2 linked regions of the Oryzias latipes genome follow. The protein of the gene in region 1 binds, or shares a complex with, the protein of each later gene. Links are inferred from orthologs where the notes say so. Each region holds a gene or a part of one and is shown in the gene's direction. Other genes may lie near its edges.

Region 1 (3,449 bases):
CATTTTCATCGGAGTCTGTGTTTAAAGTAGGGCTATACAACAATAATCTGTATATGTTTTGAAGATATTCATATCAATCTGACATAGTTCACATACTGTAAAATTGTAAACAGGATAAGCTTCAACAAAAATATGCAGATCAATAACCTTGTAAAGGCCCTAAATTGGCTCATTGCAAAAATGAATGTTCTGCCTCTTCTGGAGGGTGTTTCCGTTTCGCCACCGTTACACTTTATTTTTGAAAATTGCAGCAAAAAACTGCATTAGACCGCAAATAGTTACTTAAAAAAGGTTTAAGTTTAAAGAGTTTGAAAAATTCCTGCCTGTGAGTTTATACAGCTGTTAGCTATTAGCTGTCCTATGGGAAATTCCATCATATGTTAGCATCAAGCAAGCAGACTATGGGTTTTCACAAAAGGAAAGGCATAAAAGATCGATTTCTACGTTTAGGGATCAATTATTAATTTATTTATCTCGATTTTATCAACCCAGCCCCACTTTAAAGCACTTACGCTTTGTGTTTTTGTCAGGTTTGGTTTTTTTCTTTTGCGACATTGTCACTTATTTTGTGGTAGATGTGCTTCCAGTCACTCTTCTTCTTCTCCACCCTCACTTGCTCCACCCCTCCTCTGTCTTGTCCGGTCTGCAGATCTACGTGGACACAGTTGGTCCGGCAGAGAAGTACGAGGAGAAACTTTCACAGCGGTTTCCTGGTATTGAGGTCACCGTTAGACCAAAAGCCGACTCCCTCTTCCCCGTCGTCAGTGCGGCCAGTATCTGTGCAAAGGTGAAAGGTCGATTAATCTTGTGTGTCGCATCTACCTGTTTGAAGTCAAATTTGAAACAAACGTACAGAAATTCATCATTTTGATTTCAAACACACTTTTAAAATGTCAACTTGAAGCAAAATGACAAAACCGCTTTTGTCTGTCAGATTTTTGGTTATTTAAAAGATGACCACATGTGTGAAAGGTTTATAGGTTTAGGCTAAACTTTTTCCATTTCTTCCAGTTTACATGATAGTTCCTGAGGGTTCAGAATACATTTTAGATGCTGATCACAACCTTGTTTTTGTTAAAAGATTGTATTTTCTCCTGCAAGAAGTTTCTGGATGGTCTTTACTTTCACTAAATCCAGGATGAGAAGCAGAGCTTTAAAATTTCAGATTCTCAATTTGCTGGATCAGTTGAGCTTAAAATGTTTTATCCAGATGAAACTTTTTCACTTCTTAATTATTTTCAGTGTGTTTGTTTCTGCTTTAATGTCCGGTCTGATTCGATTTAAAAAAATTGCTATTTTGTCACCAAAAAATGGTCAGGTTGCCAGGGACCGCGTTGTAAAAGGCTGGAAGTTTGCAGAAGATTTAGGAGACGTGGATGCAGATTATGGGTCTGGATATCCTAACGGTAACAGCAATGCGGGTCACAGGCCTTTTTTTTTTTTAAATCAGCATGAAAAATAGAAAGAATTGATAATCTGGTTTTGAGATTTCCTGTGTCCTGTCTATTCAGACCCAAAGACCAAAGCGTGGCTGCTGAAGTACCTGGACCCCGTGTTCGGGTATCCGCAGTTTGTGCGATTCAGCTGGAGTACAGCCCAAACTCTGCTGGATAGCAAGGCTGTGACGGTTCACTGGTAAACTCCTCCTCACCTTTGGCCTTTTTGTTCTCAGGTCTTTCAAGTCGACCAGAAGCTTCTAGAAATGATCAACCTGATTGAAATGATTAAACGTGTGCATTTAAATGCACTCTAAGGGAGTGGTCTCTAACCTATTTGTCTGACCTATCTAATGTCAGACAATATTTTCACGGTACAGTCTGTACCAGGCTGACGTCGACGTTTCCTTTGACCTTTAAGGGTAAAGTTTGTCTTCTTCCTCTCTAAAATATCCACAGCTGTATTTTTACACTAGATTTCATGTAGGAACCATTAAAACGTGATTTAGATTTTCTTAAACACATGGCTGAACACATAAGGTAAGATAAAAAAAATTCAACACCAACTTCAGCCTTTGAATACAAAAGTGGTCAAAAACACGGATATTTAATAGATATAATTAGAAACGTGAATCCATCTTTATTATCACCGTCCTCGTAACATTTGATAGTATTATTATGGTTTTTGGGAACAACTGTTGCAATAAATCCATATTTGGAGTAAAGACGCCTGATTTTTGTCTGTTGAATCCAGCTTCTGTTTCCTCACTGGCTCTTTTCTGCAAAAAGAAACGTTCTAAATACCTTAATTTTTTTATAACTTTGCTAACTTGAGGGTTTCAATTTAGCAGTCGATGCGGTCGCTTTGAGACACGTGACCGAGCAACTTGACGTGTCAAGAGCCAGTCGGATGGCGTGAGGAGTTTTTCCCGAAACAAAACTAACATCAGAATCGGATTATAAATGAGACAGGAAAAAAAAATAGGGTGTGGTTGTTTTTTTTCTGTGACGTGGTCCCAACTGTCTCACAGACTGGTACCGGCCCAGGGGGACCGCTGCTTCAAACCAGTGTGTAAAAAGCTCACTCCCGATGTCTGAAGCTCATGTGAGCTCAGGGTCTAACCTCCGTGTGACTGATGACCTTGTTGATTCCGTCCTCAGGGATGACGATGAAGAGGACGGGGAGAAGGCGGCCAAGCGGCTGAACAACAAGTCCATGCTGTCGTTCTTCAGCGCATCAGCTGGAAGTGACGACCAAAGCCGCCAAACGCACCGTTTCTTCACCGACAGGAGGCTGAGGGGCCTGAGCAGTCTCTAAACGCACTGTGACTAGTTTCCCTTTTTTTTTCTCCCTTCTTTTTTGCAATAAATTGTTCACAACTTGGAACAACAAATGCATCCCAGAAATTTTTGAACAAAAAACAGCTTCACAGCAAAGGTTGGTAGTTTTAATTCCACATCTGTCCCCCTAAGAAAATGTAAAATCGACTCAGGAGAAGCTTAACACTAAAAACAGGCTTTGTAGCTGACAATTTTTACATTTAATTAAAAGAAAAACACCCTGGTTTCTACAGCCACACAAACAAATTTTCCAATTCCTCAACACTTAGAGGTAAAAGTTTGTTTTTTTCTCCTTTTGGTTTAGAAAACTCCTCAGCTATAATGACACAAAAGGAGTATAAGGTCTGATGGTTTTTACTGCATAGCATAAAAAAAAAAAACCTTCAACTGCATCACTTTTAGTCCCAAAACGGCCAAAAGCGACCATCATCCAGATGTCAGAACAGTCTAGTTGAGATGGATCTTCATCTCCTTCGGTGTCCGCAGGCTTTTGTTCCTTGAAGACACTTTACACACGACATAACAAATACTGCATTTTACTAATAAAAAAAAACAATCCTGATGCTAATGTTCTTACAAAAATATATTCCTCCTTAGTTGCCGGGGTTGAACATAAATGGATCCTTGGTTTCTAGTTGCCGTTGGTTTTGTGTCTGGACTCCTGGATCTTCT
Region 2 (4,062 bases), on another chromosome or scaffold:
TCAATGAGGTCATCTGAACCTTTTCTTCCACAATTATCCATTTTTGGTTCCAGTAGCTGTGACAGAAAGCTGTGTTGTGTGATTGCCAGAAATACATTTCCAGAAAAGAGATATTTAAATTTTATTTATAAAAAAACGTGTCTATATGAAATGTTCCTGTGTAGATTTGAGCAGTGAGTTTTTGTTTTTTTTGGTCTTTTTAAGGGCATGTGTAAAAGACTGGTAAGCTGACCTGGTTGTCTTCATCCCATGGTGGCTGGAATAGGCTCCAGGGGCCCATGACCCTGTCAGGACAAAACAGGTACTGATAATCATCCAATCTAATCAACAAATCAACCAATAACATTTTTTTTATTAAACATCTCAGAGAAGTTCATCATTGTATACTTTCCTTTTCATTTATGAACCACCAGAGCATCCGTGTAAGTGTTTTATGTTCAAACGTCTTTGTGATCAGGTGGACATTTTACAGCTGAAGAGTCAAAAAAGGAAAATTCTAGCAGCAAACATGGATTTTCCCTTCTCCCCATCTAATAGTTGAGTAAACTTTGCTTCAATTAAATGGTCTTGTAGCAAATCTCTCATTAAAGAATACATTAATAAAGAAATCTAAGCTCAAAATTACATTTCTGAGTTGTCTTATTTAATTTTTTGCGCATCAGGATCAGACAAAAATTACCATTGGAAAACTTCTAGTTGGAATGTAAAAGCTACACTTGGCAGGTCACTGGCTCCCTGCTCTGCTCCTTTCTGATGGATCCATTTGTAAACAACTTGATACACATACGTCTTTGTTTTCCTTGTCTGAACTGGCGTCTGGCTCAAAACTGTATGACTGGATGGCTCCAATATTTTAAAATAGAACACAATATTTGTGATGTTTAGATTTTTCAAACTCCTAAATGACATTTTTCTATTAATTTGAGTATTTAATTGTATGTTTTTATAGTTCTGCATGCCAGTTAAACTAGTCGTAAGAAAATACACCAAAAAGAATACAATGAAACAGATTTTATTGATTTTTCAAACTTAAATTAAAGGCCTTGGAAATAAGTCAGAATAGTTTTAAACAACAGTTTTATGTTATATAAGATATTAAACACGCAAATTATTGAACGTTTGATATGAATGAATTCAAATATCAAGTCTGAAGGCGAAAACACGAGGCAAAGCATTAAAACAAAACAGCTGAAGTAGAGCAGAACAGTAACCACCAGGGGGAGACATCTGTTCGCAAAGGAGAAAAAACCCGCCAAAACAGAATTCAGCGTAGAAGAAGTGACATTCACCGTCCAATCACGAACGGCTCCCTAAACCTACCCGGAAGATCAACTTTTCATGTCACACTCTTATATGCAATACAGTCGCCATAAAGGTACTGGTAATCTTATCGTTTCTTTGTCCACTCCGGATTAAATGCTGCAAACAGTCACTGTTATTAAAAGCGTTTAACTGCAGGAGCGTCGAATACTGTTCGATTAAATGTATTGGTGAAAAGCTTTAGACACAAAGGTTCAAACACACTTCTCCAAAAACACTGCTTCACACATATTTAATTTAAGAGCACGCGCATTTTTTTACTGCTAAATTTAAGTGCGTATATCATATTTTCCCGTAATAATTAAATATATACTTAATAAGTATGAACTTAATGGTCGAAATAAGGTAAAACAACTATGGTCTTAAATTAAGGCAAAATGGTTGTAAAGGCTTTAAATACATCAAATAATACTCTAAATCTTAATGAATTAAATTTTTAGAGCAATTTACCAGGATTTTATCAGCTAATTAGGAGGTTATAGATACTGTACAAGAAGAGGTGCATCTTGATTGATCATTTCTTTATGTAAATTAATTTCATTCATTAAATAATTTTTAATTATTTATGTTTTAAAAATGCAAATGGTACTTGACTAAGCAGACACTATTCATTAGAGATAAAATAAGTCATAATGAAGGAAATAAAGTGAAATGATATAAAAACCCTGCAAAATCTGACATTAAACTACCCTCTTAGAATCAGAAGTACATAATTTATCCCACACCGGGGAAATTTGTGTGTTACTGTAGCAGTAAACATATGAGAAAATGGTATAATATAAAAACAATAATTAAAAAAAAAATGTAGCAGAAATGTAAACAAATAAGGCGGTATAACATTAACTACGACTTGCTGTGGCAAGTTTATTTTAATGTGATAATATTTTCAAAGCTTATAGCTTTTAAATAGATGCCCGTGTAATTGTTAATGATTGTAGAAAAAGAAGGTAAAGGTTACTAATAAAGGTATTTTGAGTGGATGCATAAATATGTCTTTTTTTCTTTCTTGTTACGTTGCTGCAAGATGTCCTGTCACTCCAGCGTCACTCATCTCCACGTGTCTCCTGTGGGACAGGCAGAGCGAGTCCCGGTCCATCTCCTCCCTTGTGAGATTGAACACAATGGGCCTGCCCAGGTCTCACAGTACTTTACTGCAACCATGAAAGATCACAAAGGAGGTACTTGGAATTTTGTCTGAAATCTAAAACCTCTAAGACCTGTAAACACTCCTGAAGTAAGGGGCACTAGCAAAGCCACGACAGGATTGCAAAACAAAGAGAAATGACACCAAAATTATGTCCAGTAGCAATTTTTACTGGTTTGCAGAAAACTATCTTGCGCAATATTGTTTTCTGATTTTTATGTATTTTTTACAATGAGTGATTGTGGGATTTTAAAACAGCAAATACCGTAAATAGCTGCATTTAGCATTGTAAATATAATGGACTTTCTTATAACAGTCAAGGCCGTCTCATTCAGAGGACGCGGGCTGAAAGGTCAGGAGATCTGCTGTCCAGCAGGATACACAGGCCTGGTACTTAAAGACACCAACAAGCCTGGCTCTGACCAGGAGGTAAGCACCTCCCATGACATGTTTCAGAACTAAAAAAGGAATACTGTCACAAGCTGAAAAATGTTTTTTCATGCTGTGGCATGAAGCATAGGTCTAACGATTCTGATGCTTCAATGACTTTGTATCTCTCAGGACAGGATAGTTAGAGTCTCCTCTGTGTTTGATAAACTGACCTACTGGAATCTGGACAATCCTCCAACCTCTGATGACACTGTGGTGATGGCCATGGATTGGCCGGAACTTGCTGAGGCGGTAAGAACATGTCGCAGTTGACCTCAAATCTATAGTTATACCAATCTGCTCCTTACAATAAATCACTGTGATCAAAAACAAACTAAAGAAAATGCATTCTAGTGAAATGTTTTTTTAGTTTTCCTCTTTTTTTATGCTCAAAATCAGTCCCAGCGAGTTTTTCTGTAAATATCTTCTAGGGCACACATGCTGCTTTAGACTTCAATCATGAGTACACAAATATATTTAGCAAACATTAACATTTTAAATAAAATGTAATCATTTTAGTAAATATATCAAATTTAACTCATGTTTTTTTGTTTCTCATTTTCTGTCCAACTGGAGGATCACTTGCATTTGCTGATTCTTTGTCTTTTTTCCAGATACACGAGCCAATAGACGAGTGACGTGATGGAAATACTATTTTAATGGGCCGGCAGACAAATGTCATATTGACATGTGAAATGCACCTTTTATCCCACATGTTTTTCAACCACCAACCTTATAAAACGCTCTGCTATGGCAGAGCGATCAGTTACATAGAGCAGTGTTAACGAAATGATACCTGAATGAGGTTTGTGTTTGTTTGTACATAAATAAAAAACGTAAAGACTTGCAAAAGTGAAATGTTTGATCCTCTGTAACACAACTAACTTTTACATGTTTAACTGGACGGCGTTTATTCACAAGATAACACTGGTAGCCATGAAAGCATTACTGTAACATTGTGTCATAAACACAAAGTCCTATAAGATGAAAAATGATTGGCTTTGACTTGACACATTTCACAGAACGAAGCCTACAACATGGAAACTATTGACACTGTGGTTCTGTCAAAAAGTTTGAGAACAAAAATTGAAAGAAAAAGAAACAGCCTGGATACATGTAAACCATGAGGGGAGTCATTATGAAGGAACTATTTGGAATTTAGTAAAAAG

What was found. Proteins that work in one complex are often made in the same cells at the same time.
Region 2: the proteins of rnaseh2a (region 1) and rnaseh2c are in contact, whole or in part, in a crystal structure (PDB 3PUF), measured with the Homo sapiens proteins. The link is inferred for Oryzias latipes from reciprocal best matches to the Homo sapiens genes RNASEH2A and RNASEH2C. Residues at the interface, in NP_006388.2 of Homo sapiens: Thr11, Asn99, Ser102, Thr103, Leu106, Gly107, Arg108, Val109, Val196, Glu197, Lys198, Leu199, Glu225, Pro226, Val227, Phe228, Gly229, Phe230, Pro231, Gln232, Phe236, Leu245, Ala249, Glu250, Asp251, Val252, Ile253, Trp254, Glu255, Asp256; in NP_115569.2 of Homo sapiens: Pro33, Cys34, Glu35, Val36, Ala37, Val38, Ala42, Pro43, Val44, Gly45, Arg46, Phe47, Phe48, Pro50, Ala51, Arg53, Ser62, Phe63, Arg64, Gly65, Arg66, Cys67, Leu68, Leu134, Glu135, Thr136, Lys143, Gly146, Ala147, Thr149.

The regions. Positions count from the first base shown.
Region 1 is NC_019859.2:10,610,938-10,614,386, reverse strand, and holds the end of rnaseh2a (ribonuclease H2 subunit A), read left to right. Parts: intron 1-649; coding exon 650-787; intron 788-1,318; coding exon 1,319-1,406; intron 1,407-1,511; coding exon 1,512-1,635; intron 1,636-2,597; coding exon 2,598-2,754; 3' UTR 2,755-2,851; downstream 2,852-3,449. UniProt on the Homo sapiens protein: Catalytic subunit of RNase HII, an endonuclease that specifically degrades the RNA of RNA:DNA hybrids. Participates in DNA replication, possibly by mediating the removal of lagging-strand Okazaki fragment RNA primers during DNA replication.
Region 2 is NC_019868.2:12,026,737-12,030,798, forward strand, and holds rnaseh2c (ribonuclease H2 subunit C), read left to right. Parts: upstream 1-1,261; 5' UTR 1,262-1,375; intron 1,376-2,344; coding exon 2,345-2,498; intron 2,499-2,780; coding exon 2,781-2,893; intron 2,894-3,025; coding exon 3,026-3,145; intron 3,146-3,507; coding exon 3,508-3,531; 3' UTR 3,532-3,745; downstream 3,746-4,062.